Coturnix japonica: one gene and its partners. The protein of the gene in region 5 interacts with the protein of the main gene of each other region in a pairwise test. Links are inferred from orthologs where the notes say so. Each region holds a gene or a part of one and is shown on either strand. Other genes may lie near its edges. The genes, in order: EGFR, SYT6, TRIM42, GEM, KCTD9, NUP35 and EHHADH.

Region 1 (4,013 bases), on a different chromosome or scaffold from region 5:
AGCCAGTACACTGCCCAGTGGGTTAGAGTGCACAGTCCTTTACTCCATTCCACAATGGCTGCAACTACAGATCAAAACTAGATATATAGAGCCAAAAAAGCAACAAGAAATGGTTTGACTAAATGCAATGTCACTAAGCAATGAGAAACAAAATGGACATCAGTCAAATGCATGCTGCAGGAAGTGGCATGCCTGCTGTCAAAGGCACCTAACAGGCCATCCAGCAACTATCAGTGTAAATCCAGATTACTTCCTCTGCTGTTAATCTGGATCAACATTAAAGATGGTGGATTGAGAGAGAGGGAGGTATTGATCCCTGTGACAGTTCAATTTCTAACAATGCTGTTTGGTGCTGCATTAAGCACAGCTACTGGGTTTGTTTGGTTTGTTTTTCATTTTCATGACTGCAGTCATTCAAATAAAAAAGTTTCGTCTCATCCAAATTTGAAAAGATTGTTCTAAACTTCTGGTAAAATATACAGGTGAATTTTAATTTCCATTCAACTATTACATTGCCCATTATAGTTTGATTCTGACATTCTTGTAACAAAAAAGATTTGCCAAGGTAATTTGGGGGGGATAATACAAACTAAAATATTAAGAAGCATAAATGCATTTACTATTTGTACTTCTAGAAGCAACAGAATTTTATCATAAAACATGAGTGTTGCAATGTTTATGGCAGCATATTTGCTTTCAGAACTGTTATAAATTCAGATGCCATGGGGTCCCAAGGAAGTGGGTCTTCACTCATTATTTTATGATTCCCAAATGCCACTTTATTCTGTACCCACCTTTATTTCCTCTCTCATCTTCAAATGCGGAGAAAAACAGATAAAGCTCAAATAATTGATTCATGCTTCTTGAAGAAGTTATTCTGCCTTCCCTCTTCTGTCCCCGGTCCTCCTCACAGGAATGGTTACTCACTAACACAATGCTGACAATGATGCCCATTGGGTTTATCATGTAGCTGTTTTTTATTTAACAATCCTCAAATAAACAGCACCTTCATAATTTTATGAGACACCAGATTAAGCACTTTAAAGAAGGCAACAACATATATACCCTCACATTTTACAGATTCTGCTGGGCATGTGCATCAGGGTGTTCCATTTCAAAGGACTTAAATGCAGCAGACGGAGTCAGCTCTGCTCCCCGTCACTTTCAGTGGATGAGGGGAGACAAGAAAAGAAAAAGATCAGAAACCCAGGAAAGAAGAGCTGCCTACGTTACATCAGCAACAGGTATGAACTTGATTTCTGGAACAAGGGAGCCTCTTCAATGCTTTGAGGTTGTGTAACTAGTTCCTCAGAACAGGCAGCTGCTGCTCCCTTTCAGGACAGTTTTACTGTTCTCAGTTACAAAAACATAGGTTCAGCTGTTTTCAGCTGCAAGCCAGCTCTTCAAAACACTACTAATTCTTTTTTCCCTCTTTTTCTGTAGAAAGAAAACACAACAACAGATCTGCATTTTTTCCCTTGCTGGCAGATCTCCAAGATAAAGAGAACTGTACTCTGCCTGGAACAGCACTCGGGGCCTATTCACAGAAATGATCACCACACATGGAGAAAAAGCGACGGAACTCTCCCAACAAAAACGTTCTCTCACTCCTTAAACCAGTTTTTCAAAAACGTATAAAAAACAAAGCTCCAGAAGCCAACCAGACAGCCTCGCGGGCCGTCCCGCGCCGTTCCCACGCACGGCTGCCGGGCGCTCTCAGCGAGGGTGACAGCGGAGGCATCGGGCCGGGCAGAGAGAAAGAGAGAGAGAGCGAGCACGACCGGAGAACCAGAATCCGCATGAAGTTTCCCGTCCTCCCCGACACACCCTTCTCAGGTGTGTGCACACGTATATGCATGCATTCATCTTTTTGAAGCGGAATGAGCTGAGGTGCCCGGCCCGAGGCGGCGGGACGGCTGAGGCTGCCCTGCGTGTCCCTGCCGTGCTCGGTGCCACCTCCCCGGTGTCGGTAGCAGAGCGGTACTGGGCCGGCGGCCACCATGGGGTGAACCCGGGCAGTGAGGGCGCTCGGGGCGCCGCGGAAAGAGCACGGGGGCGGAGTGGAGGAGAGAGCAGAAAATAAAAGCCTCGGGAGGGGACAAGCACAAGCGATGAGACTCTCAAAGGTTTATTCCCTTTTATTTCCTCCGCCCCCACAAAAGAAAATAAGCTTAGAATCAGGAAGTCATGAGCTGCGCGACTGCTCTGTAGGTCTGTTTTTCCATCTTTCTCTCAGTAGTTTTTTATTTTTTACTTTTTCCCCCCTTTCTTCTAAGGGACGAAGCCAAGACTTTCCCTCCGACTCTCCCCGCAGTACCAAGGGGCACACCCTGTAGCCCCAGCACCCGTACCACCCGTTACCTTTCTTCTCCTCCACGGCGGAACAGAGTGCGACGCGCCCCAGCAGCAGCAGCACCAGGAGAGCGGCCCCGCGGGGCTTGGCGGCGGACAGGGGGTTGAGAACGCCCATGGTGTGCATCGAACGCGACGGGCAAACGGAGCTCCCCGACGAGCTGCTCCTCACTTTGCGCTACTCTGCTCTGCGTTCTACTCCGCTCAGCTCCTGGCTGCCACTCTGCCTCCGAGCAACATGCTGGAGGGCAGCCGTCGAGGGTTGCACGCACACGTTCCTACCCAGCTGCAGAAGGACTGCTGCCTTCTTCCTCCTCCTCTCCTTTCCTACTCCCTCCTCTCCTTCTGTCGCAGGGGCTGCGGAACGGATGGGGCCGGCCAAGGGACTACTCTGCCCAGCTGCGCTCTCCGACCGGCCACGGAGCGCAGGGGCTCCCTCTGGGGACGCCGAGGGGGAGGAGGATGGGGCGGGAGCAAGAAGCGGGGGGAGGAGGAACCAGCGGCGCCTTCCCCGCCCAGGTAGGAATGGAACCGCCTCTACCTGTCCCAGGACAGAAGGAAGCAGCTGTGGGGGAGGGAACAGCTTGGCCTATTCCCCCGCTAGGTTTATGCGAGTGTTGAGGGTATCCCGTTGTCCGCTTCCCGCTGTTTGTTTGCTCGGTAGCTGCCGAAGGCATAAGCAGGCGTTTGCGTCGCCGCTTGTGAAAAGCCCTGTGGCCTTCAGCTCCCCATCCATGTCCCTCCCGTGGGACGCTCTGCAGCAGAAACCCATCCCGTCCCATTATATACAACCCTCGTTTCTGCTGCCTCGGCATCAACAGAGCCCGTGAACAGCCCCATTCCCGTGTGGTCATTTTGGCCACAAAGTCAATAGGATATGAACTACTATGATTTATTGGGAACTCCAGAACTGAATCTCACAATGAAAGGGGCTTGGGAGGTAACACACTAAATGCCTATGCCTATCCCCATGTGCTGATAGCAACACATGGGGATATCATAGATACATTACGTAGACAGTAAAACAGCTGCTGGGTGTATTCTGCCTTACATCAGTGATTCATGCCTTCTGAGAGATTCTTTGATAGTTATTTATATTGATTTATATTGATTCACTGATTTTATACTACCCATCAGATTCCTCTGCACATTTTTTTCCCTGATAGTTTAACAAGTTACTGTGCTAATTAGGCAAAGAAAAGTGAAACACCATTTACTTACATTAGCACAAGTTAGATGCTCCAACACATACCATATCGTGCCTCTAATTGTTTATTTTTAAGATGAGCCTTTGGATGCTGTAACTGGTATGCTCTTTTCCTTATACACTGTAAATAATACACAATAAATACGTCAAAGTAAACTCAGAAATAAGTAACATCCATACAGCACTGCTCCTCTGATTGTTTCTGTTCCTTTAACAGAGGCAGAATCTGATCCTGCAACAAAATATCCATTTAATTCAGTTTGCTTCAATGCTGTTTACACAGTGCAACCACAAAAACATTATGTGCATATAACACATTTTCATTTATTTTGACAAATATGAAGGTTTTAAAAAATGAGAAGCCCAGGAAAAAATCAGCTTTTAGAGAGGGGAGATTTGCAAAGTAATTTCAATGTACACTAATGGTTGCAGCTTGCATTATGAGAGAGGAAGA
Region 2 (4,096 bases), on a different chromosome or scaffold from region 5:
TATTTTACTTCTGCCGGCTACAAACGCTGGCTTTATTTTCACTGAGTGCCATTCTCCAGATCTCTCTCCTCCAGAATTTATTACCTAAATCAGATAAAAAGCAAACAACCCCATACGAGTGTGACAAAATGGAGCTCAAGGAGGAAGAAAACGCCAGAGATGGTCAAAATGGCACTCAGGCATCTCAGCCCTATTTCACCATCTGGGGTTATATCCAGTGAATCTCTTTCTCTGCAGATGCTTGCAGCAATTACATTTGTTCTATTTATTCTCCCTCAAAGGCTTGGAGATGAGTCAACAGAAAAATCTTCTAGGATGAACAAACTGAAGCTTGAATTACGCGATATCCCTGGACAATTTGTTCTGCAATCAGAGCAGCATTCTCTTTCCTTACTGCTCTGGCTTCAATTAAAAGAAAAACCCACAAAAAAATTAAAAAAAATAAAAATAGTCATACGGTACCAGTCACATCTGTAAATACAGCTCTTATCTTTTTTGCTTGCAAGCTCAAGGAGTTATATATTATCAAGGCTGCTCTGAGATGTTCAGCTTCTGGAGTTCATGTCTGGTGAGAACATTCCCTCAGCTCTTAGCAGAAATCCCCAAGTGAGAACTGCTCCTCTCTGAAAGCCCTGACCCAGCTCAGTCATGCACAGTACATGGATTCAAAGGAAAGAAGAACTGCACGTACCTCTTTGAAAGACTTCTTCACCTCCACTAATGGATGCCAGTGTGCGATGGGCTTGCGTGGGTACGCCAGCATCTCGTTCCAGTGGTCTCTTCCCAATCCTTCCGCATTGACCCCCACACGGCAAACCCCAATGATCTCATTGTGACCCACTCTGAAGAACAATAGGAAAGCAACACTTATCTCTTGCCCACAGTGCCCAAGGAGGCTGTGGATGCCCCATCCCTGCAGGCATTCAAGGCCAGGCTGGATGTGGCTCTGGGCAGCCTGGGCTGCTGGTTGGTGACCCTGCACATAGCAGGGGGTTGGGACTGGATGAGCACTGTGGGCCTTTGCAGCCCAAGCTATTCTATGATCCTATAACCATATAAAAATGACATTCATAATACATCTCTAGAGACACATTGATGCCACGCAGGGGTGCAGTCAAGGCTGTGATGGTAAGGGAACAACTACTGAGCAGAACATCCGTGCCCAATGGGATTTTCTCCTCTCCCCAGAGCCCTCCACCTACCGATCATAATCCATGACAGAGATGAGCAGGCTGACTTGATCCATGTTCTCTGGGGGAATGTCAAAGATTATTGCTTCATTATAAGTAGGATTAAGAGTATTTTTCTTTATGGTGGTTTTCTTCTTTTTAAGCCTTCGACCATCACATAGCAAAGACACTTTGACGTATGGATCTGCAAGGAGGAGAGAGGAAAAGGACTTCTGATTATGGAGGTTTATTTTCTTACCCTCACAATACAGAAACAGCATTTCCATAGCATGGATGTGGCACCTTTTCCTGCACTGCTGCCAAATCTGTCCAACTGCTTCCATTATGTTGCACAGTTACAGTGAGCAGAGGAATCTGAAAGCTCATATTTCCCAGAGAGCAGCAGAGGAAGAAAAGATATTAGAACAGCTCTGTCTCGCTTGCTTTCTGTTGGCTGATCATGGCAGAATGCATCTTGGTTACAAATGGCTCCTGTTTCTGATTTTGGCTGCTTGGACAATTGCAATGCACTTTGAAGTAGCAGCAAATATGCAGCATTTATAGAAGCACTGAGCTGCACAATGAGATGTGTCCCCACTGAGGTATCTCATGGGAGGAGGAGGAAGCGTGGCTGCAGCTCACAGTGCCCTCAGCCACCAGCACCCACCTGAGTAACCGGTGATGTCCATCGCTTTGAGATTCCTGCATTTAATGACTGTTAGGGTGAGGCGACCTGCAGTTGGCAAATAACAAAGGGAAAACATGATCTCTCCCAGGTCCACGCTTTCCTTCAATAAAACAGAGAACAGACTGTATTGGAAACGTGCAAGACTCAGCCTGGCTGCATCCACCCTCCATCGCAATGCTGTGTGCAGGGTTCATGCAGCACTCGCACCAGAACAGGCTTTTCCCTGGACCATCGCCCATTCAAATGTGCCCTCCCAGAGCTGACAAACACAGCATCAATGTGTGTATGTCTGTACATAAATAGTGCATTAACCAGCAGATGGCACTCAGAAACGTTTAGCACTTCAGGATGACACAGATCGATACCATTTGCTGTTTGGGTGCTCTGTAAAACAACTTTCACACACAGCTCCTCACACCTCCTGCACATGTAGCATTTCTCTTTACACCTCTCAAAAGCCCATTCTATCATTGCCTTGCTCATGGGAATTCAGGGATAAGCATAAATAGACCAAAAGTAAGACTATGAACAGGCCTGGTATTCTTTAAACAGCTGGGACTTCACCTGAAAGGTTTCCAGATACCTTCTGGAAATGGATTTTAAAGGAAATCTTGCCTTGTACTCAGGGGTCTCACATTAGCAGAGCAAACCTCAGGGCAAAGTGACCTGAGTCACAGCCCCACAGTCTGTGATCAGTATTGAAACACTGAGAACAGTTACTGAGTTATTATTCCTCTGCCTTTAATGCTGCTTGATGCATCTACTGGGAATTGAATTCATTGCTTCACAAAAAAGGAACCTTATTAATCTATCAGGATGATTTTCAGCACGCACTAAAGAGGTTCTCCTTGTCCACAAGCTGAGCCTGGCACAGGATGAGGCATAGAATAGAACCACTGAATCATTAAAGGAAAAGACCTTTGAGGATCACCAAGTCCAACCACTGTCCCAACACCACCACGATCACCAAAGGGTTTGGGGCCAGCCCAAGCCCAGGCAGGGCTGAGGACTTCCCATGTTCCAGCTTCAGAAATAACAACCTGAAAAGACAACTGATTTGGCGTCCAACTGCAGAGCAGAGCAGTCATTTGTTCACCCCTCAGGAAGGGTCACGTCTTCCTGGGAGGACAGTGGACAAGCAGATAGCTACTGCATAGAGGTTAATGCCTTTGCTTCTGCAACAAGATCAGGGTGAGAAGGTGGCTTCTCCTGCCAGCTTCAGCCAAAGCCTGCAGCACTGAAAGCAGCTGGAACATTTCCATCCCTGACGTTAGGTTTCCCTTTCAGAGAGAATACAATAGAACTGCTGAAAGGCTCATAACAACCACGGGAACGGTAACATGATGGAATGATGCTCTCCGTATAGTAAAGCCCAGTACAGCCCCTCCAAAACTATTTCTGGCTGTTTATCATGTGCACGTGGCAGACATCCAGAACCCAAGACCTTCCCCTGATGAACAGATGATAACAGGGAATTTACCTCACTCCTCCATCTGGTTTTTAGCAAACCTGGTGTCAATGAGACTCACTGCAGGTGAGATAACAGCAAACCACTAATGAGGGGATGAAATCCCAGCAAACCAGGGCTTGGTTACAGCTGTCACGCTTCTACATAGAGCAGCCTTGTCCATCCCTGTGTGTGACTGCTGTAGGCTCCCAGGGCTAATGGCACCACCAGCAATAAACCCAGCTGCTCCCATTGCACAGGGCTCAGGTAAGCCATAGGGGAAGGCCAACCCACCTGCCCCAGCACCGCTGGAGCAGACACTCACCGTTGTTGCATACTGAATGTCCTTCCAGATGGAAGTCTCCCTGGAGAGATCTGAGTCCTCAAACAGGTTCTCCAAGATAACTTCTCCTATCATGTCATGTCTGGAGAACCTGTCAAAGTCAAAGACGCTCAGGTGGAGCTTCCTGCTCCCCAGCTCCTTGTGGGGCACAGGGAAATGGAAGGACTCATCGAAGGTGGGGTTCAGGGTCTTCCTATGCACTCGTGTCTGGAACTTGCGCTTCCTGTCGGGCAGGAGGTAGATCTTCACATAGGGATCTGAGCTGCCACAGAAATCTTTGGCTGGCAAATCGAAAGCCCTGAGAATTCGGACGGTCAGCGTCTCGTTCTCATAGTCGTACTTGAGAGTGAAGTTAATTTTCCCACAGGTTTTTGCTGCTTCTTTTTTGGGGTCCTCGGAGTCGACAGATTTTTGCTTGTAGAGCTCAGGCTTAATGCGGCCGATGCTGG
Region 3 (4,702 bases), on a different chromosome or scaffold from region 5:
ATTTATTCTTCTGACACTAAAAATTGAGAACTGTGAGAGAACAGAATCAAAAACACCAGAGGCTGACAGTAAATTTTGCTGAAGTGCAGCTAACATTTTGGAACAATATCACATTACCATTACAGAACCTTACACAAATATTTTGCATTTTACTTTTTGAGCTTCAAGACTGTTATGAAAATGCAAATTGAATGCTTCCAGTTATTTCTCACTGCATGTGGTTCACTATCACCTTTCCAAATTCTGTTTTCTGTGCAACTTTGTCTGTCCCCAGCATTTGTGGTGTTATATGCAAAAATCAAAGTATTTAAAAGAAATTCATAAAATCCCAGTCTCTGCACTGTCACTCAGACACTATGGATGAACTCTTAGATAAAGGAAGTGACATTGCTGTAGCTCCTCAGAACATTGAGGCTGTCTTGCCTCTTACTCAGCATGGACACAATCATAATACTGACTGAAGAGAGACAATTCATAATTTGCCTGCAGGGAAAAAGGCATGTACTTCTGATTTAAAAATGTAGGTGTAATTTGTGGTTGTTTCACACTGGGTCTCGCAGTATGAAATGGAGTTTCCTACACCAAGATGCACTATCTCACATACAAATCCTTTGTTCTCTAGTATTTGAATTTGTCATGTGGTTCCACACAATTAAAGGCTTCTTTCCTCTGTATTTCCACAGTGGGAATGGTTCATCTTTCTGCCTTTTGTGATATTCAAAGAATTAACGTGGCTCATCAAGTGTATGTGCAAGTATCTTTCCTGCAATGGCATAGGGAAGTGTAAGAAGCAGCAGAAATACAAACCTTCTTTAAATTTTACAATTGTATTGGAGAGAGAAGCAGCTTCTCTTGAACACGCAGCTGCCAAAGGGATGGTCTCATGGTCACTGTGTTGCAAATTCTTGCAGAAACAACAGATCAGTTTGTGGTCATCCAGACAGTATTCAGAGAGGTGTGAGTTGTGGTGCAGTAAGCATGCCCACTGTTCGTTATCTTCTTGAGATGCACTGGTAAAAATGTGGTCTTCAGCTCCACTCTCAGCATGATATAAATGCAGACATTCATTGCACATGTTCATTCCACATGTTTTACATCTTTTAGTTGCCACTTTTCTTCTCTCCCTGCAAGCTTCACAATGGACTGGTCCTACACTGTGGTCAAATCTCCATTTCAGAATGCCATGTCTGCGCATGTATTTCTTGGCTAGTTTTGCTCTAAGGTAATTCTTCCTCAGCTGAATTTTGTTTGTGCAAGGGAGACAATGAGCTTTGCTACACACCGGGCATATGATGATGTAATAATTTTCTGTTGCTTCAGCTTTGGTCTTGCTTTTTATTATACATTTCTCACAAATGCAGTGATTGCATGGCAGCATAAGTGGCTGGAGAAATAACTGTTTACACAGTGGACAGGCAAGCTGGTCACGAAAAGCCTGGCTGGAGCCTTTCCTTTCTGGTATACTGGCAGATGTGCTATATCTAGTTCTTAATCTTGATGTGACATCTCCTGACCTTAAGCAAATCAAATGGGGGGGGGGAAGCAAACAAATGAAAATGTAAGGCAGAATATCAGTGCACAATCTAAGAAACAGAATGATAAAATAAGCAGATCCATCTTGCATGCCAACCGTCCCTTTATTTGGACAGGATATTTTATTTAAACAGTTAAGTTAACAATACTAAGAATTCATTCTTTTCATTTTCGTAACTATTTCAGTGTATTTGAATGCTGTTTCCAACAATGTGAGTAGGCAGAAATCTTACTCTTGTCAAGTCTCTCTGAATTTCTTGAGTTAATACTGGTGTCCAAAAAACAGATTTCATTTTGGTTTACTGCAGTCTGGAATGTGTTTTTGTCTCCTTCTCATTTGCTTCTTTTTATAAACAGAACACAAAAATAAATAAAATGAAAAAGAAAAAACTTTTCAATTTAAAATAACAACACACATTTACATAGAAGGATCCTAAATTTTAATTATTTTAAAAAATCACTCATTATTTCTGATTTTTAAAACAAATGAAGATTATTCTTAGCAGCAGTCTTACATCATTAAAATTTTGGCAATTAACATGAAAGAATCAAAATTTGGATATTTTTATTAAAATTAGAATAATTCTTGTATTTTAGAAAATAACTGATTCTCTGCGTTCTCTTTAAATCTTGATTATCCTGGCTTTCCTCTTAGCCAGTGGACATTATTGTTTGAAAAAAAGAGTATTACTTTTATAATGATCCTGGCCATTTTCTATATCCTTGGCAAAGAGCATCATTATTCAGGATGTACTCCTGATTCTAGGAGACTACAATCTGGCCTTCTGCCATGCTTCAGTTTAGCACCTTCTCTGCCCAGATGTTCAGCCATGCTATTTCTTTTCTTGTCACTCTAGAGAATGGTAGGGAAAAAAAAAAAAGTTTTTTTTTGCTTTTAAGAAAGAATGATATCCTGTGGTTTGAAATACTCCACTGAGCCACTGGATCTTATACTTCTAAATGCAAGACATCCATTAAGATGGAATGAAAATTAGAAAAATTTAAACCTATAAAAACTAAAAGCCCTTGATTCCACTTACTGAGCAGTCCCTGGTGCTCTTGACCATCGTGGTTCAAAGACATAGATTCTGCAGCATTTGCTTGCATAGTATTGACACGTTGAATTCTCACCACCACAGCAGCAGCATTTGCAGTCTGGGTTACTTGAGCAAGAGCAACAGCACCACCAGCAATTTGCATGCTCTGAACATGAGCAGTGGCAGCACTGGTAAGATTTGTCCTCTTCGTATGGGCACGGAAAACAGCTGCAGTACTGCTCATTTGTAAAGAGGAAGCGCCAAGATGAGCGGCATTCTTTCTTTACGCTGTGGCAAGTCAGATTACAGCAGTTTGAGAAGCATGAGCATATATCCATTTTCATCTATCCCTCCATTATACAGCTGAAAGAAAGTTCATTTATCCTTTTAGCTTCTCTTCAAATTATTGCAGTTGGGTTCCTACAAGGCAAGAGATCTGTCTGACTCTAGGGTTAAGGTCTGTGCTGTAGGCAGTGCATGTTGTTCTAAATGGAATGTGATGTCACAGTGATGTATTCAAATAAGGATGCAGGCAGGGTACTATATACATGTTTATACACATTTTATACACGCTCTGTATGCTGATTTACAACATCTATATGTCATGATATTTCTAATTGTTCTTGAAATCATAGACAGCATTTACCTCACTCTCCATTAATAGCATGAATAGTTTGTGCAGTGGGATTAGCTATCCCAAGGCAACAGTCTTGTTAGAACTACACACTTTACAGTCATTTTGTTGGCTTCAAATATAGCTATGACACGTAAAGGAAACTTACACTTGATATGCGTCTTTGAGTATGTCTTTTATCTGTAACTGTAATAAGTCTTTGTCAGTGTTGATGCGCTTGAACAGTGTATGGCATTTGGTCCTCCGAGACTTGGGGAAGGAACCATCCTTGGAGCTCAAGTTCAGTGCTCATTCACAGTGGACTTGCATTTTCCCCCTCTAAGTCCAAGTGTGTTTCTTCACCTCCCTTATCCTGACCACTCTTCTATAAATGCAGTATTAGGCCTAATTCTTTAGTTACTTCATATCAAGCGCCTTTTTCTTCTTTTGTTTAGCTAATTTATTTGAAGATTTAAATAGTGCTTTTGTCTATTTGCAGAGATTATAATTTTAAATAAAAATGAAATTATTGTAAAAAATACATGAACTTCTCAGAAGTGCATACTAGTAGTTTACTGTAATGATTACGTCTAACTAAAACAAGAGCCACCCACTAAGTTGCCTGCAGCTGACATCTGAAAAAGCATGTTCTCTTACTGGAAACTTTTATAGGACAGTGATAGCTTTATGATACATACTCAATAATGCTGCTTTTTATAAGTGGCTGCTGTACTTTATGTATCTGAGTTTTCCTGAAATTTAGTAATTCAGCTTGTGATGATGGGTGAATGCATAACTGGGAATTACTAAAATGGGTCTTGATCCTATTTGCTGAAAGTCTGTTCTACATAAAGAAATTCTAATTCACTGATCCAGAGCCTTACAGACTACAATGGCTGTATCATTATATGCAGCCATCTACATGATGGGACATAATGGGTTCTTTGCAACGGTTATAGTCTATTATGTCAATCAGATTTTCACACAGAAGTATTAGATTTGTGTGCTGAATGGCATAGCCTGGACATTCAGTGGATGTTGTTTATACCACTTGTCTTTCTAGTTTTATCAGCAGTAAGACTTTTTTTCTGTGCATATTTAATTTTATCACATTGAATGGCTTTTGCATTCATTTGGTAGGAAAAAATATATCTTCTGATGCTTGTCTGCTTTTCTTTCGCAAATGTTCTTTATGAAGTATGAGTTTTTATTTATTTTTTTGTGAGAAAAGAAAGCTGATAGGATAAGGAAAAAAAAATAGTAGTCCTGTGTGCCATACGCTAATACCCAGTCACATTGTTTTCCATTTTGGTATAATACAGACTCTAATAGCAACTTGTATCATTCTTAGGAATGTATACTGTTTTCATTGGTTCTCTGTGGGTTGTATTTTTCTACTTACTCTTGGACTTCTTTGGCTTCACTGCCCCATGTAGTTCCCCTAAACCATCTTCAGTGCTCCAGATTTTTACGTACTAAAACTACTTATCTCAGCAACCTATTTTGGTCATAGTACAGA
Region 4 (4,709 bases), on a different chromosome or scaffold from region 5:
AGATCCATCTGCACCAGAGGACAACATTTAGAGGACTACTTCTTTGTTCTCCATGACACAGCGAGAGGCTACAAGTACGTAACCACACTACTTGAAGATGTTCTGCCCCTGATCCGAATCATAGAATCATGGAAGCTTTTCAGTTGGAAAGGACCCTTAAGGGCCATCTAATTCAACTCCCTTGCCATGAACAGGGACACCTACAGCTAGATCAGGTTGGTTACAGCTCCATCCAGTGAGCTTACTTTGAAGTCAACATTTTAAAAGGGGAAATACAACAGCAGGTTTCCTGATACTTCCATAAAGCTGGCCTTGAAAACTTGTCATGGCCATCCTCCAAGCAGTAGTGCTGGGAGTGCAAATGAATGAAGAATCCATACTGCTTCTCATGAAGAAGGAAACTATCTGACAAGGATGTGCAAAGTAAATCCTGGCTTAAGAACCAAAAAACCTGTCCTGCCTATGCTCCACCAAAGGCTGGAAAAAAAAAGCTCAGAAACTCTCCGTGCTGTCATGGGCATCAGCACAAGCGGAACAGATAGAGGAGAGAAATGCTCTGTGTGTTGAATAGCAAAACCAGCCAGCAACTTGCACGTGTTACCAAGATGACAGCACCTGTGTCCTTAGGACCACAGCAGGCTTCTATCACTGCATGTCCCTTCTTCCACAGCACCTTGCTCACACCCTCATGGCTGGGTGCCACAGCCTCACCTTCTGCAATGACTAGTCTTTGGGACTAAGGAAGGTTTCAAAATCCTCACTAACACGGGAACATGAAATGAGGGGTAGATATATTTTGCTCAGACTCCCTACAGCCTATGCTGACACAACATATTCATATGTAAGGCTGAGATAACATATAATGGCAAATGTTTTGGAGAATTGGATAGGGCTTTTTATTTTTCATTGCATATTATTTCTGAGCATTACATTCTTGTGGACCACAAGGAAAGGTCCTTGTTTTCCTCTGCCCTATAGAAAGCTGGAAATAGCCCTTTGGAGCCTGTGGTGACACAAGAATAGGACCAGAATGAATACTGAATGGCAGCTTCCAACAAATTCTTTGAAATAAAAAAGCATGAGAATCTGTATTGTTCCTTTTCAGATGCTTTGAGTTGTTATTAGAGAGTACCATCCTCGTTGTAGCTTACTTTGCTTATTCTTGTTTTCTTAAGAGAGATGCATGTGTTGGAATTGCTTTTGACAATCAGATCCAGATGTTTGCTAGGTCAATTTTACATTAATTGACCTTTCTGATTTTCCACGTCAATTTCTGCTGCCATGGCTGGTGGTGAGCAAACACAGACCCCAGAGCATGGTGACCTACCTCCCAGCACCTCGCAGTCGCTGTCAATGCTGTCGTGTACCCCTGCAAAGATGTTGGCCAGCGACGATTTGCCCACACCTTGTTCCCCAATCAGCACCACTCTGTAGCAGTTGCTGCAGGACTCAGAGGAGATGACAGAGTCAGATGACTCCGAGGACCAGCTCCTTCTGTAGTATTCATCAGGACTGATGGTGTATCGCTTCTGCACATTGTACTCATTGGAGTCCTTCTGGACCAACAGGTTCTTCCCATCAGCAGGAATGCTCCATCGCTGCTGCTGCTGCTGCAGGCTGCTGTGGTGGGTGCGACGCATGGTAACGTTGTTGAGGGTCATTTTTTTACCCCTGGTGAGAAATGTGGAAGCCATACACTTTATTCTCAAAATACTTACAAACACACCATCTCAAGGCATCAGGTCCTGCTCTTCTATGGGGATACAGTATGCAACAACAACAACAAAAAAGGAGACTCCACACTTTTGCAGTTGCTAGTACTAGTATGCAAAGAAATATTTCTAGCTTGTGAGTCAGAGGCTTTTTCCTGGGGATGATGCCACCCCCATACACTAATCCTCTCTGTCTTTAGCCTGTACATGTTTCCTGTAGTGCTAAGTGTATGGGCAGGGAAGCACTCAGCAGAGCTCACATATGGCTGCATCCCCATCAAGAGATGGGCAGCACCTGCAGGCAACGCTCCCTGCCCTCCTGCCTCCTGGGGCAAGCAGAGGGACCCATCCCTCATACCTCAAACTCACAATCTTACACAGCTCCCATAGGAGAGGAAAGCCATGCAAGCAAGCACATGTCTTTGGGTCTCATCTATGTCGGGATAAGCTTAAAACAGTGGCTTTCTGGCTGCTAGCAGGGACACAACCAAGTCCAATGACTTTTCAGAGGAGGTATATGTTCAAGCCATTACAGAAGGTGGCACTGGCAGAAAAAGATCATAAGTTTACAAATACTAAATCAGAAACTTCATCTGTTTCACAATTAGCTAATAGGTTAGCTCTTCCAACCTTAGCATGGCCCCTAATTACACTTAAATTAGCAAACTCAGTTTTGAGCGGGTTGGCGGCAGAGCACAGTGATGTCATTCTCACGGGCCACCAGCTACCATTTTTAGGAATGTTACTTCTGTGGCTATTTGGACATTTTGCTTTTTGGAGTATATCTGAATTTTATCAGCTCTGTTCTCCATGTCAGTAGGCAGGAGAGCTGCCCATGAAATGAACTTTCAAACTTGAATAACAAGCGGTGAATGAAAACAAGCACAGCAACACATGAAAACAACATGTTCGGATCACTACTCCTTTTCACACAAAGCTATCTGAAAACTTCTTAGAATGAACATAGATCAGGCTGGAGAATAAGCAGACCAAAACCACTTTCTATCTGATCTTATTACAGCACTCACAGTACTTACTCTGTGACACGCAGTGCTTAGTGGCAAAACTAGATTCTGACAAGAAACTAGGCATCAAGCAAAGCCTGCTTCACAAAGTCAGATAGGAACCGCAGTTTGATTTACCATGCATTACTTTCTTTCAGTTTCCCCAGTGAAAAGACCAGATGAGAAAAAGCAATTCCAATTCAGTCAGATATCAGAGCCCAAACAAATGATGACCATCAATAAACAATCACGTCGCAGTCCAAGCCCAGGTTTGATGGCATGCACTGCACTCAGCTGTGTGGGTCTACAAAGCCACAACAAACCCCACAGACACAGGACCCAATGCACAGTGGCCAGAGATTCCTTACTTGTATGTGACCGTCCACGCTGTCAGCTCCGGATTCGCGCTGCCTTCCGCTCCGTGGGCTGTGTTACACTGAGCTGCTCTGCCAGAGTAAATCCCCTCCCGCTTACGGGCTGCCTCTTTAATTCCTTCTCAGCGAACCTGGTTTATATTAAGCCCATCTGATCGGAGACAGGGCTTTTCCGTGACGTGGTTGGCCTTTCCATCCAACAGCCAACCCCCAACTGGGAGGAAGCAGACATGCAGAAAAGCAAAAACTTACAAACAGCCTCAAAAGACTTACTTGAAATCATATGATTGTCTTGGTGTTGCCAGTAAAACAAACACATTTGGGGCTGACATGAGGAAAACAGGCAAGTGGAAAAATTAAAAAAAAACATGTCCTTCCATCTTGCTCAGTTCTGCATTCAAACGCCAGCAGGATTAATGGTGTTTTTAAAACTACGTGTTTCATTAATGAATATAATGCAGTAAATGTGTGATGTTCTCTGTCTGCAAAATGCAGTTAACTCCCCACTGGACAAGATGTTTTTTTGTGGAATAAAAGATCTGAATATCATTTTAGAATTATCTCACAAGCATGAATATTATTCTGTTGTTGTTTTGTTTTTTTTGTTTTGTTTTGGTTTGGTTTATTTGTCTTTTAAAGAGATCCAAAACATACAATCCTACTTTTTCCATCACCTTCCAAGGCTCTACCAGCCATCTCCCACCCCTGCTGCAGCACTCCTCCTGCAAGGGCTCAACAGAACGGCTGCCCACAGACTGAGTGCTGCTCCAGCTGGACGCCAGCAAAGACGGATGTGAATTACAGAGCACAGAGCCCGGGCGACACGGTGCAGATTCTGTCTGCAGTTTATTAGGAGAGATGGCTATACAGTGTATGCACCACAAAGCATGTGCCTGCTCCTCAAATGGTGCCATTTCTAACAGCCTGTGTGGAAATCACAATTAACAGAGCAAAGAAATAAACCTCCACAAAATACTTGGTAGGGATACCATCAGTTATACAGAAGTCTACAGCAAACTCCCACTATTTTTCCTTCTTTTTCCAAACCTGTGACTGCCCTTCCCCTGGCAGCTGAGCTTTAGCACCAGCGCTGTGCAGGGTGGAACATCCCTTCCCTTGGTACTGCCTGGCACTCATGTCACAGACTTCTGCATTTTTGTGTCTCACATAAGCCTTGTACAGAACATTTCCTCTGATAATGCAGCCCTTTATGAAACTCTTCCACTGAGATATGCCTGATTTCTCTCCCCTTCAGCTTTGTTGCACTTCTGCATTTTTCATGAGGATTTTCAGGGATCTTCTGAGCCCATCCTGTTGGATCACCTCTGTTCAGCAGTGGCTGCCCTGGCTCCAAGCCCTGCAGCTCTGCGTAGGATGCACACAACAACTGTTTGTGCTCACTGTACAGCACAGCAAAACACGGCACAACCCCTGTCAGGGAATGTTTATGGCAAGGCCAGTGGGTCTCAAAGCAGAGCACTTTGCTGTCAGCACACCGAGTTCTGAAGTTGCTCCTCCCTTTTGCAAAATGTAAATGAAGTGGGGGAGCGGATGGCTGCAGAGCTGCGTGCTGCACCCTCAAGGGATTTCAGTTCTCTTTATGTCGCCTGTCACTCGTC
Region 5 (4,773 bases):
AAAATCAAGAAAATTAAGGCCAAAGCTATTTCTTCTACTGACCCCTTCCCTTGGGTTTCTAGTCTCTTTCTGCCAGGAGGTGTTAAAATGGAAGACTTACATATTGATCCCTAAGGGAATTAAAATGATGCATTAGACACTTGAGAACAACCCTCACCTGTGTTAAAGCTTCTTTTTGCCTGTTGCTCTTCTGCTGGGCAAGGTATTGAATGAGGGTATTGTTTTCTGGAGACCCCCTTGCTCCAATGGCTGATCTTCGTCTGAGCTTTAGAGCAGCTGGAGACTTTGCTGAAATGGAGAGAGAAGGAAAAAAAAACAATGAAGATGTACAGCAGAACACTGGTTTAATGGGGTTTGGGTTTTTTCTTTAAAGAATGGTTTGCGTTATTTCTGGAAACAACCTCATATAGCTTTACAGCTCAGAAAACTGTCAGAAAATCAATTAATCAGCATGAGCAGAAAGACCTACAAGATCATCCAGTCCAACCCTTTCTGATCACTCCAGCCTTGCCTTACCTGTAGATCCATTAACAAAGCTTTCTGGAGTAATCCCAAAATCAGCAGTTGTTACAGTTGCAAAATCGACACTTTTTCTCCTCTGTTTCTCTGCTAATTCGCAATAGGATTTTTCTTCTGCTTTGAGCCTTGCAGGCGTTGAGTAGCACTCATCTCCCAAAGGCACGGATCTACCTGAAACATTCTCTTTGCTGCTCAGAGGCTGGGCAGCTTCACCAACCACAGCCCTTTTTGGAGTATCTAAGGGACATTCTGACCACTGATGGCTCTCAGCATCATGATACAATTCCTGCTCTTGGCCTTTGGTTCCATTGCTTACGTTCTCTTTCTCAGATGCCATTTCAGGCTCAGTCACTTTGCAAACCTTCCACTCTTCTAATGGGGATCTCTTCAGTCACTGCAAGATTTCTTCTCTCATTGCCTTCATCTTCCAGCACAGCATCTCTAACCTTTGATGACAACGTGTTTTAAGCCCGAAGAAGCACAAAGTTATTCACTTGCCTCCAATAACAACAGCTCCCTGTTAAAAAATGACAAGTTTTAAGTCATTTGATAAGGAAAACAGCCCTGTAATGATATGAAATGACTGCAGATCTAGAAAACCACTTGGGGAGGGGGGAAAGGGGAAGAATAGGGAAAGCCTTATGGTAAGAGAAGCACAGAAGCTTGGCTATGGGTAAGGAAACACAGGCTTATGCTTTTATTTTGTGGTAAATATATACATTTAGCGTTTAAATGCCCGTTTTAAACGCAATTGAGGTATGAATAGTATAAAGGGGAAGGGGAAAGGGGGGGGGGGTTCTTTAGGTCTCTCACATCTTTCGCATTACTGGGTTTCTCTCAGGTATTAAAGCTCAGGGAAACAGGCCACAGCAGCAGCTCACGAGAATACGCGTTAGGTTCCACGGACCGGGCTGTTTAAGGCAATAAGGGCCATACAAGGGCCATACAAGGGCCATACAAGGGCCATTACCACAGACCCCCCCCCCCCCCACCTCAGCCGCCATCCCCGCTCTCCCCTCACGTTCGAACCGCGGAGCCATCAATGACCGTTACGCGCCGCGCCGCCATTTTGAATTGCAACGGTCGCCGTCCACGTGACAGCGCGCACCAATCGCGAGCAGCGTTTGCTTTTAAGCACCCAACTCCTGTTTTTGATTGGCTGCTGGTACCTCTGCTTCCGCCCACTCGTTGTTTCCCCGCCCCTCCTGCGAGGCGCGTTTCTCATTGGCCAGCGGCTTGGCTGCGATTGGTTATAGCTCCTGTCGCTCAGAGAGCGCTGACTTCCGGGTTTGGTGGCAGTATGAGGCGGGTCACGCTGTTCGTTAACGGCAGTCCCCGGAACGGGAAGGTGAGGGGTGGGGGGGTTGAGGCCTGTGGGTCGGATTTGGGAACCTGAAAGTGAGTTTCTGAGGTTGTTCTATTTTCCTCTGCTTGCTTTGGGACTGGAGGGCTGCCTACTGTGGCCGTGATTGGGGTAGTGGGGTCTGAGGGGCCGGGTTGAGGCCTAGGCCTGTGTATGGGGCAGCACTGGGCCTAGGCCATATAGGACCCATAGACCCCCATACAGGCCCCCATAGACCCCATACAGGCCCCACAACCCCATATGGGCCCCATAGACCCCATACAGGCCCCACAACCCCATATGGGCCCCACAACCCCATATGGGCCCCATAGACCCCATACAGGCATAACTGCTCTTCAATGCAGTTCAGCTCCCATTTAGTGGTGCTGTGCTGATAGAAACATGCCCTGAGCACATTAGGGATGTGCTGAGGTCTTCCTGTGCTGTGCTTTCTGTTGGGTAGCTGATAAATAACCTTTTTTTCTGCTCAAAGCTGTGAAGCAATGTCTATAGCAAAAGCATATCAGGTTTTAAGGCCCAATGCTGCTCTGGGATGGTAGCAGCCCTAATGTGGTTTCCTTCTCTTTGCAGGTAGTGGCTGTATATGGCACGCTGTCAGATTTGCTGTCTGTGGCGAGTAATAAGCTGGGGATCAAAGCAACCAGTGTTTACAATGGGAAAGGTGGGCTCATCGATGATATTGCCTTGATTAGGTAAGGTTGATCCCATAAATGCCAAGTCGTGGATGGAGATTAATAGCTTGTTAATGCTCTTAATAAGGGCAGGACCATCTTTCCTGTGAGGAAAGGCTGAAGGAGTTTGGCTTGTCTAGCTTGGAGAAGACTCCAAGGAGACCTCATTGTAGCTTTTCAGTAATGGAAGGGAGTTTACAAGCAAGAGGAGGGACTGACTTTTTACATGTTGTAATAGGACAGAAGGAAATGGCTTTAAAATAAAAGATGAGATCTAGGTTGGATGTTGCTGGGTGGGGCCCTGGACAGCCTAATCTGATGGGGGGCAAGCAGCCCACAACAGGGGTACTGGGGATCTTTAAGGTCCCTTCCTAAGCCATTCTATGAATAACAAGTGATTACCATAAAACCAGAGATTATTTTTGAAAAGGAGACAAACTATGGTATGGTTTTGGCTTCATGTAACATAAAGCACCTCAGAGTGGGGAGAAAAGGAACTATTTCATAAAATTAAAGCTGCTGAATATCAGAAGTGATCCCTACCTGGCTGATACAAGTCTCTATTGGTAGCATTTCTAGTGCAGCTGGTAAAATTGCAGTCATCTGGAACCTGCGAAGTTAAGAGAACAATCAGATTCTTGATTCTAACTAATGGAATCGGATTATCATATACCTGAAACTAATCAGGAGAGGATCCCAATGTTACTTAGATGAACATATAGCTGTTTAATCAATTTTTTCCTGTTTTTCTTCCCTCTGCCCTCTCCCCTTCCAGGGATGATGATGTTCTGTTTGTATGTGAAGGGGAACCGTTCATTGGTAAGTCTTTAACTCTTCAGCCTTCTGTTTACTTAGGCAGATAGTAACAGGACAAGGGGGGATGGATTTATGCTAAAAGAAGGAATAATTAGGGTAGCTGTTAGGAGAGTAGTGAGGCCCTGACACTGCTGTCCAGGGGAGCTGTGTGTGCCCCAGGCCAGGCTGGATGAGACCCTGGGCACCCTGATTTGATGGGAGGCAGTGGCAAGGGATGGGTGGGCTTTGAGGTCTCTCCAACCCAAGCCATTCTATGCTTCTATGCTTTGCTTTAGTGTAAATTTTGACCTGTTACCATATGGAGGATTCAGAAATGTTCACAATTCTAACATCTGTCTTCTCATCACCTGTGTAGATCCTCAGACTGATGCAAGACCTCATGAAGAGCTAACGGGGGCACATACAGACTGGCTAACACTCAATGTTGGAGGTCGATACTTCACCACCACACGGTAAAAATGAGGCTAGTTGAGCTGGAATTACCTTCAGTAAGGTTGCTATAGTAGCTGGGCTGTGTTCAGGTACTGAGACTTTAGATGCTCTTGAGAAAGAACAAGAAAAGTCTTTTGCTGTGGAGTAGGAAATCTTTTGCAGCTTTTTTTAGTATTAGGCATTTGTTGCCACCATAAACAGTTCACATATGTGCTGACAGTGGTGAAAAGCCTGAGCAGGTCTGCATTTATCCCTGGAACATTTCAGCTAATGAAGTGCTTTCTATTTGAAGTACTTTTGGTACACCTTAGATCAGAAGTGTGCTTTATCTCCTCTGAAATCAAATTAGCACAGAGTTGGAATGCATATCATGCACCGTTAATTACCTTCAGTGTGCCAAGGAAATGCATTCCTTCCAGCATATTGGTCTTATAGCAAAACTTTCCACTTGAAAAATAAAACTGCACTGCCTTTCTTTTCTAGGAGTACTTTGGTTAATAAAGAACCTGACAGTATGCTGGCCCACATGTTTAAAGATAAAGGTTAGTATCTCAAAACTCTCCCTTTAAGCTAACAAATTAGCCAAACAGGTAAAAGGCATTATTAAGTTAAAGCTCTTGTTTATGTGTTGAAGTATTAAAAGTATGTTAAAGCATCAAAGCACTACTTATGATCATTTTCTCTAGTTGTCTATTTAACCTTTGTTCATATAGTGTTTATCTCACACATTGAAACTAAAACTCCCATCCAGAGCTAATACTTTATAATAGAGTCTGTTTTTCTAGTTTAGACTTTTCTGGCTGTTGCATTTTACTCTGTTTCAAATGAGATGTATTTACCAACCAAGGGCAGATTAATACTGCTTTTACTCTAGTAATGGTTCTTAGGCATGTCATGAGATGTGTTTAAGCTATTTATAGCAGGAAGGGGTTAGATGTAAGGGGAATTTTCCCTTCCACTCCTATTTTCCTT
Region 6 (3,607 bases), on a different chromosome or scaffold from region 5:
CTGAGGTTCTAACTTCAATACCATGTAATGCGGAGTTATGTCACTGTACATCTTTCATACCTCAGAGAGAGCTTCCATAGCAATCGCTTTCAGCAGCATTTAATCAATTAATAAGTCTGATAAAACTCATTATTTTCTATTTAACTGCATATGTTCTATGATTCAAATAGAAAACAAAGTGTGTAGGGGAAACAAAAAGGAATCCCAAAAGCAGAATGCTTATATTTTATTTAAAAGAGAGCAGTTGTTAACTTACTTTATCTATACAAGGTTTGACACCAATCATGATGGATTCACCAAAAATTCTTCCATCTTTGCTTAAGGCTTTTCGGGCTTGAAGCTTAGACTGATACCGAATATGCATCCAGTTTCCTGTGTTGGACATCTGTATGTGATAAAATGAAAACTGTGTAACTTCACCATTTTAAAGTATGAGCCAGAACGTTTTCAGAAATAAGCTTCGGACTAAGACATACCACATGCTTTAATATGTTTCCATACTGAGCAAACTGTAGAAGAATATAGGAAGCAGATGCTTGGGGAAATCTGAAAGACAAAACAAATTCCCAAAAAAATGATGAGTTTTGGTGATAGAACCCAACTCCACCAAGGGATTTCGCAAATCCAGAATAGACCGGCACTTTAATAGCATCTTAGAAGGAGTAACTTGAGTAACACTATCTTGTATGCATTTTTAATTTGCCATAAATAGAATGGTAGAACAGTGCCTTTCTAACTTACTAATACGTAGAGTTAAGCTTCTTCACTAAGATAGCAGGTATGTGCACCTACCGGCTTTACAAGCAATTGTCCATTCTGAAGAATGTAGGAACATCAAATAGCAGCAGTCCAAGTGCTACTTGCTTCCATTCGTGGCTAAGACCTAGCCCACAACTATCCAAATATTTCCAAATAAACTTACCCAAATACAGTTACCCATGTGTCATCTAATTGATCTTCTGAAGTCAGGGAATCACCCTGAGTATAGAAAGGATCTAGTTGAGCTGGAGACAGAGTAGTCTTCCTAGGCTGTCCAATACTTGCAGGACTGAACATACTTGAAGCTGTTAAATTAAAACAAAACTGTTTAATATATTCATCTGCAAGACAAGTCAGCCTAAAAGAAGTTCACTATTAAGTATTTCACTTGTACCCAGAAGAATTCAATGGAGATTAATTTGCAGACAAACATTTAGTTAGTCCAGATTTCAGAAGTTTTCCAGCTAGCTAGCAGGCTTCACTCACCCCCACACAGCAACTACTCAATGCAGACACCAAAGGGAAGCAAGACACTCAGAGTTAAGCTTAACAAGAAGCCATGTGTTCATACAGAAAATTGGAAGCCTTATCAGCACAGACAACCACTCTTGAATCACAGAAGCTTCTCTCAAACACAGATACCTCTTGAGCAAGAGATGCTCAGTGAGAAATATGTGAAGTTGATGGAAATTCTACCACTATGAGTCAAGCTATTTCCTATTCACACCCACAAAACTTTTGAAAAGCTAATGAAAAATACAGATGCAGCAAACATGCAAGGAGTTGAAGTAGTTTGAACAGTATTATGTGTTAAGGAAAGCAGTAACAAAGTAGATGAAGAGTTTTCATAGGACATCTACCTGTTCCAGGAGTTGATGATATGTTTCCAACCAACGGGCTCTGCGTTAGAGAAAAACTGCCCTGTAGTAAAATACAGAAAGTAAATAACATTTACATAGGTACACTTCTCAGATCAGAACAGTTCTTTTTCAGGCTAGCTCAACAATCAAGCAGTAATATTAACCCCGTCTTAAGTTACTTCTGACTTTCCAGACTAATATCCAGCATGTATGTATCTGTATTTGACACATACTAGCACCCTGTAAGGGTGGCTAATATAAAGATGTTGACCAAGATGGTGGTAAACAGTCAAAGGTTATTAGTAAAAGAAGACTCACCAACATCGATTCCTGGACTGGATAGCTGAGGCAGTCTCCACCAGGGAGCAATCTCCAAGAGATGCTGCCTCAGTGGTGGTCAGCCCTTAAATGAGGTCTCAGAGGGGGTGGAGTCGAAGTCCACCCCAACCGGGAGCACAGCTAGATTACTCTCACCTGTGCTCCTGCAGCTGACCCAACACTTGCCTCAGCTGACTAATCAGTGGTTCAAGCTGTGATTTCCCATACACACCCAGTAGGTGTCAACAAGCCAAAACTCAAGTATTAAAGAGTGCATGGGAACAATGAGCAAACTACTTCACAAAATGGTTGCACAAGCAACAGGCAATATTGATATCATTTTATCTAACGAGAAAGCCTTGCTGTTATATATGAAAAAAGCTCACTTAGGTCTAAGTCAAGCTTTAGGTCATTTAGAAATCAGATGGTTTGTCAAAAAAAACCTTTATCTAACACCAATTGTAAACTTTATCAATCCAAATAACTTCTGGTACCAATACTCACAAAGCTGAGAGTTTAACTTGATCCAACCAGACATTTTATTATTGCTGCAAGCCAGCAATTTGCACTACATGCATCTTAAGGAAAGGATGGCAGCATGAGATATTATCAGCTGATTTGCATCTCAAAAACTCCAAAATAACATAGCATAGCTCCTACTTGTATTCACCTTTATTTCTTCTCCATAGAACCATTCAGTGTAACTTCAATATTTAGTGAAGGAAACTAAACACCAAGTTCTAATTGCTAATAGTTATTTCCTACATATCAAGTTCTCAGTTTTTGAAACAATTTGAGTGTATTTTTATCCTCAGTCATAGTATTTCTTTGAAAGAAAACGAAACAAAATGGAGCACCTGTCAGCTTAGCAACCTGCATTGAAACTATTAGCTACTCATTATCATTAGTACTACTTTTAAGCAGTAGGGGACTCTCTTCTCCTTGGAAAGCTTTCAGAAAACAACATCTAATCAAGTCTGCTCATTGAGAAACACGCATTGTCTTTCCATCAGCAGATGTACATTGAAAAAAATACCCACTAACACTTGACCACTCAGTTGAGGTAAGAGGAAGAGTTTACTATCAGAAATATCACTGTTGCTCTTTCAAGATTAACCCCCCACCTCACTGCCCAAGTTCACATCATATCTTATACTCAATAATGGGATGATAACAGCAGGATGACAAAGTCCTCAGCTACAGCAAATGTGAACTAGCCCAAACACAGCAACCACAGGTACAGAAATGAAAAACAGCTGCTTACTTTAAGACCTCCAGTAAGCAGGGATCTCCAGTAAGGGATACCCTCACCTCCACTGCCAACCCTTAAATGAGGTCTGGGAAGGGGTCTACTGAAAACCCTTAAAAATCAGAAGCAGTCCCATAGCAAAGCTGTCAGAATACCCAGGAACAGGCCCAAAGGAAGACTGGAGTGCATATCAGCATGATCACAAGACTCACCAGGCACTACACTAATTCAGTTGCATAAACTGTTCTTAGGTATTCACTGAAGACCTCACCTTGTCTGCTAAGAAAAAGACAATAACTTACTGCTCTTCTTGAGGTTAGTGGTGAAGATCCAAGTCCAGGACTAGATAATTCATCGTATATGCTTCTAACTGGCGGAGCACCACTTTTATCTTTATGTGTAGGGACTACTGGCTGTGGAG
Region 7 (4,387 bases), on a different chromosome or scaffold from region 5:
GAGGCATTATGAGTGCCAATGGCCTCTGTTCTCAGTAATTTCCTCGAGGGGAGATGGGAAGGGGGCTGGGCATGTTGGATGTACGGAGGTGCTGTAGGTGAGATGTTTTGGCCACAAGGCTGATGCTGGCGGGGCTTGATACCCAGAAACTACCATCTCTCAGGCAGATAAAGGACATGCCCGCCCCTCCTCAGCCCACTCCTGCTGCAAGGGCAATGCCCTTCTCTAACCCATCTCTGGTACGAATGAACCCCATGGCAGGAGGCCCAGGAGAGGGTAGAGCACAGCACGTCCAGAGCTGTCCTGCCCAGTGACGTGACAGCCGCCAGCAGCAGCAGTGCTGTTGTGTAACATGTCACGCGGAGCCCACGCGCGTGGAAGCAGCGCTTCACCTTTGAGCAAATGCTGGATTGCACTCAGCTGTGACACGCAAGTGATGGGGGGGGGGGAATGCAGCAGTTTTCAGCACCTAAGAGTTATTGCTTTCTCTGGTGCTGGAGGAAAATCCTCCCTTGAACAAAGAAATAGGTTCTGGCTTCTGGAGGGTTTCCTGACCCCAGTTTTGCACTGGGGCAAGAGTGGATAAAAGGCACAAGAAGCTACGTATAGAAAACAGTGGAATGCAACCACTTCCAGCATGAACTCCTTCACAAACAGGGAGTGTATTGAGTTCTGCCACATAGAGAAGCAATGGAGGTATAAAGAACAAACACATTTTCCATCTTCTGCTTTACGATACCCAGTAATCCGTCATTAGATAATCAAAATGGTTTTATTAAAACAGAAAGCAACAATTAGACATTCAGTGTAAATCTTCCTGAGGACACCAACCTAAAAGATAAATTCACTAGACGTGAGCAATAGGTGACTTTGCTCAAAGCATGGAAGAGCTCTAGCTCACTCCTGCTCTGCTCTCTGCTGGAAGTCTGCCCGCCCAGCTCTCGAGCCCTGCTCTTCTCAGCACGCCCTCTGTGCAAGGAAAAACCCGATAAGTGCCAGGCCAGGTTTCAGTCTGGTCAATTAGATCAATTAGGTAGCCACAGGCAGGCAAGATAGGGGGAGTGACAGCAAAGCAAAGCCGCACTTAAGAGATGCCAGAAGATGTTTCTGCCTGGACAAAGCCAGGTGGATGATAAAGGAGGATGGAGTCTGGATGCAGAATGCCAGTCATGAGCCAACAGCACAGTGCAGGTTAGTCAGGTTGATGCATATGTGGCTTTTGTGTCATTTATTAGAATCTTTTTCGGCAGCAGGGAGCAGGTGATAGTACCAGCCCTGCCCCCTGCTCTCTCTCCGAAGCTGCTCTCACCAATACCTTTGAATTTACCTCTGAAATGTGCCAGCTCTCCCCCAGCAGTGTGAAGGGAGGAGGCTCCAACTGGCTGCATCTGGGACTGCCAAGTAATCTGGGGTGGAGGAAACTGCACTGCAGGGAGAAGGAAGGTCTGAACAAACTGGAAAACAGACTTAGGCCAGGATCTGGTAGGTCCAGCTGATCCTGGGTGAACGGTGACCATCTTGCTCTCCCCTCCCACTGTGATTTGCTTTGAGGGCCATGTGTTGTTCTGTCCCTTCTACAAAGAAAGACTGGAAGAGATGCACTGCTCTCAAGAATTAAGTGCAGAGGAGAATGAAATGCATTTATACACAGCAGTGTGCCAAGAAGGTGGGTGAAGCTGGTGGCAAGAGGCAAGGGTGGGCGATGGCAGTGGTTGCCTGCAGCAAGGTGAGACAGAGATCAGGCTCACCTAGGAAGGTAATTGACATTTTTTATCAGCCTGTAGCACTTTGGTTCTGATTGGAAAAGTGCAATTGCAGCAGCTGTTTCATGAGATCAACCTCCAAGGAATTTCTATAGCAGGTATCAGTGAAATCACAGCTTGTTGCTCTGCCTGTGTAGGTAGGACATCCAGTCATTGAGAGGAGGGTTCCCCATAGCCACCAACTTTTTCAGAAAGGCACTGGGACGTAGCTGGGGAACATCAGGGTGCATCTCAGAGTATTTTTGCAGCTTAGCCAGAATGTTAGGGAGCCCAACAGTGGAAGCGTAGAACATGGGGCCACCCCTGTGCTTTGGCCATCCATAACCATTGATATAAATTACATCAAGGTGTTCTGGGCCTGACGCTATTCCCTCCGCCAGGATGTCAAATCCTTCACTGATAAGAGCAAACAAGCAACGCTCCAGGATTTCCTCCTGGTCTATAAAGCGGGTCTTGATTTGATGGGTGTCCCTGTACTCAGACAGAAAGCTGTGAATCCATGGGTCTGGTTTGGATATCCTACCCCCAGCCTTCTCATACTGATACCAGCCTTTTCCAGTCTTCTGGCCAAACCTGCCTTTCTCACACAGAAGGTCAGGCAGTGGGCTGTAGCGATAACCACGCCGCTGGCGGGCGGGTGTTCCTGGAGCCAGTGAGGGCCCAGTAAGGCCCTGGTCCTTTCGAGACCTCCAGCCCACATCCAGCCCAGCAAGATCAGACATTCGGAAAGGCCCTATCTTAAATCCAAAATCTTCAAGAACCCGATCTACGTCTTCTGGTCTGCTTCCTTCCTCTAAAAGGAAAACTGCCTGTTGTGTATATGGAAACATCATTCGGTTCCCAACAAACCCAAAACAGTTCCCTACCACCACTCCAACTTTCTTCATCACTTTGGCTAGCTGCATGGCCGTGGCAATGGTGGTGGGGGACGTGTGACGGCCATAGATTATTTCTAATAGCCTCATCACATGAGCAGGGGAGAAGAAGTGTGTGCCAATGACTTGCTGTGGGCGGTTGGTGACAGAAGCTATTTCATCGATATTCAGGGCTGATGTGTTTGTACACAGAAAGGCCTCTGGCTTGCAGATTCTTGATAGCTTGTTGAATATTTCCTTCTTTAGTGCCATGTTCTCAAACACAGCTTCAATAACTAGATCTACATCCCTCAACACATCAAAGTCCACGGTGAACTGGAGTCGTGCAGGGTTATGGAAATCCAGGGTTTGGGCACCCTGCTCCATTTTCATAGCCTCACGTTCCAAAAGGAGCATCACGGCTTTTCTTCCTGTGTTCAGATACTCCAGATCCTGCTCCAGGCCTACCACAGGTATCTTGGCTTTAACCAGAGAAGTCACGATGCCTCGGCCCATTGTTCCAAGCCCTGGAGAGAAAAGTGAGATAGAATCAGAAACTACAAATAGAAAATGTTACAATCAGTCACTTGACAGCAGCACTTCCTTCAGTATTTCCAAGATAAAAAGCAGAAGCTTAAGCAAAATGCACAGGCAGAAAGAAAGAACTGAAGACTCAGAAAAAGGAAGGTTAAGTCTCTCTTTCAGGGAGCCTCAGTGTCTGAAGAGCAATAGCATAAAGGCAAACTGGTGTCTTCTCAAGGTTACAAAATACCAACGGGATTCACAGGGGTGTGTGTGGACCACATGAATTCATGTCTTGTCCTTGCAAAGTTTTATCCCTATGGAAACCAGCATCACTTAATAGTTAGAACTTGGGGAGTGAAGACAGAAGACCAACACTATTTCTGGCAGCTTCATCCTGAGGACACCAGTGCCTCTCTGGTCCTTTTGAGATGGCCCCTCATGGGCACTCACAGATGAACACCTCTGCAAGCAAAGCCACCCCACACAGATATTTTGACACCAGAAAAGCTCAGACAGTTGGTTTCTTCCTCTTCCTTGCAAGCTTCTTGTTCGTCTCACCCTGCGTTTCATTGCGTAATCTTTGATGTGAACACAAATTCAGCTGCTCTTTCTTTAAGGCATCTCAGAAGAGTCTGATCTCGACTTTCATGTCTCCTATATCACTCATCATCAGTTCAGGCATGGAACTGACACTGTGCTCTTACCCTGAACATCTTGCTTGCTGTTCACGCTTTGTATTGTACATCTCTGCCAACGGGGGGCAATCCAAGTCCTCTGATAAGGGCCATTCCTAACTTTTGAGGATTACTAAAGATACAGCCTCCCTTGTCTAACCACACTCTTGTCCACAACCAATCACCCATTTAAGCTGTATTTTTTTTCCTCTGAGATCCACAAATGTGCTACGACCAGCCCACACCCTGAGAAATAACACTGCTGACATTACTGCCTTGATACTTTCCCTCCTTTTGAGCCCTTCCCCTGGCTCAGCCCTCTGTTACATTAAGTGAAGCTGCGTGCTTACACTCTCCTATGATACCCAGCCCACGCTACTTATTCTATTCTCCTACAATGGAGGCTTTGTGGACAGAGCTAATACAAACTAGTGAGAAAGCCAGCGCAATTTTACCAGCTTTAAAACTGCAAAGCACTCAAATGGGAGGATTATGAATATCCTAAAGAAAGGAACAACTATGCAAAGGCCAGGTCTGTTATAATTCTGTAAAAACGATTAATATTATTTTT

Evidence for each region.
Region 1: the proteins of KCTD9 (region 5) and EGFR interact in a protein complementation assay, tested with the Homo sapiens proteins (2 studies listed by IntAct). The link is inferred for Coturnix japonica from reciprocal best matches to the Homo sapiens genes KCTD9 and EGFR.
Region 2: the proteins of KCTD9 (region 5) and SYT6 interact in binary tests that used the Homo sapiens proteins (3 or more experiments, as listed by UniProt). The two-hybrid records come from large-scale screens. The link is inferred for Coturnix japonica from reciprocal best matches to the Homo sapiens genes KCTD9 and SYT6.
Region 3: the proteins of KCTD9 (region 5) and TRIM42 interact in binary tests that used the Homo sapiens proteins (3 or more experiments, as listed by UniProt). The two-hybrid records come from large-scale screens. The link is inferred for Coturnix japonica from reciprocal best matches to the Homo sapiens genes KCTD9 and TRIM42.
Region 4: the proteins of KCTD9 (region 5) and GEM interact in binary tests that used the Homo sapiens proteins (3 or more experiments, as listed by UniProt). The two-hybrid records come from large-scale screens. The link is inferred for Coturnix japonica from reciprocal best matches to the Homo sapiens genes KCTD9 and GEM.
Region 6: the proteins of KCTD9 (region 5) and NUP35 interact in binary tests that used the Homo sapiens proteins (3 or more experiments, as listed by UniProt). The two-hybrid records come from large-scale screens. The link is inferred for Coturnix japonica from reciprocal best matches to the Homo sapiens genes KCTD9 and NUP35.
Region 7: the proteins of KCTD9 (region 5) and EHHADH interact in binary tests that used the Homo sapiens proteins (3 or more experiments, as listed by UniProt). The two-hybrid records come from large-scale screens. The link is inferred for Coturnix japonica from reciprocal best matches to the Homo sapiens genes KCTD9 and EHHADH.

Annotation. Positions count from the first base shown.
Region 1 is NC_029517.1:73,822,949-73,826,961, reverse strand, and holds the start of EGFR (epidermal growth factor receptor), read right to left. Parts: upstream 2,801-4,013; 5' UTR 2,480-2,800; coding exon 2,362-2,479; intron 1-2,361. UniProt on the Homo sapiens protein: Receptor tyrosine kinase binding ligands of the EGF family and activating several signaling cascades to convert extracellular cues into appropriate cellular responses.
Region 2 is NC_029541.1:3,837,366-3,841,461, forward strand, and holds part of SYT6 (synaptotagmin-6), read right to left. Parts: coding exon 3,630-4,096; intron 1,958-3,629; coding exon 1,837-1,957; intron 1,375-1,836; coding exon 1,203-1,374; intron 843-1,202; coding exon 692-842; intron 1-691.
Region 3 is NC_029524.1:5,100,288-5,104,989, reverse strand, and holds the start of TRIM42 (tripartite motif-containing protein 42), read right to left. Parts: upstream 3,067-4,702; 5' UTR 2,915-3,066; coding exon 2,574-2,914; intron 1,515-2,573; coding exon 808-1,514; intron 1-807.
Region 4 is NC_029517.1:114,173,816-114,178,524, forward strand, and holds the start of GEM (GTP-binding protein GEM), read right to left. Parts: upstream 3,226-4,709; 5' UTR 3,085-3,225; intron 1,672-3,084; 5' UTR 1,662-1,671; coding exon 1,328-1,661; intron 1-1,327. UniProt on the Homo sapiens protein: Could be a regulatory protein, possibly participating in receptor-mediated signal transduction at the plasma membrane. Has guanine nucleotide-binding activity but undetectable intrinsic GTPase activity.
Region 5 is NC_029537.1:1,991,884-1,996,656, forward strand, and holds the start of KCTD9 (BTB/POZ domain-containing protein KCTD9), read left to right. Parts: upstream 1-1,770; 5' UTR 1,771-1,819; coding exon 1,820-1,867; intron 1,868-2,452; coding exon 2,453-2,574; intron 2,575-3,328; coding exon 3,329-3,372; intron 3,373-3,724; coding exon 3,725-3,821; intron 3,822-4,284; coding exon 4,285-4,343; intron 4,344-4,773. Other genes in the region: CDCA2 (cell division cycle-associated protein 2), read right to left, coding at 158-288, 517-856. UniProt on the Homo sapiens protein: Substrate-specific adapter of a BCR (BTB-CUL3-RBX1) E3 ubiquitin-protein ligase complex, which mediates the ubiquitination of target proteins, leading to their degradation by the proteasome.
Region 6 is NC_029522.1:6,181,445-6,185,051, forward strand, and holds part of NUP35 (nucleoporin NUP35), read right to left. Parts: coding exon 3,489-3,607; intron 1,681-3,488; coding exon 1,620-1,680; intron 1,065-1,619; coding exon 923-1,064; intron 547-922; coding exon 477-546; intron 386-476; coding exon 257-385; intron 1-256. UniProt on the Homo sapiens protein: Functions as a component of the nuclear pore complex (NPC).
Region 7 is NC_029524.1:2,549,662-2,554,048, forward strand, and holds the end of EHHADH (peroxisomal bifunctional enzyme), read right to left. Parts: intron 3,145-4,387; coding exon 1,874-3,144; 3' UTR 754-1,873; downstream 1-753. UniProt on the Homo sapiens protein: Peroxisomal trifunctional enzyme possessing 2-enoyl-CoA hydratase, 3-hydroxyacyl-CoA dehydrogenase, and delta 3, delta 2-enoyl-CoA isomerase activities. Catalyzes two of the four reactions of the long chain fatty acids peroxisomal beta-oxidation pathway.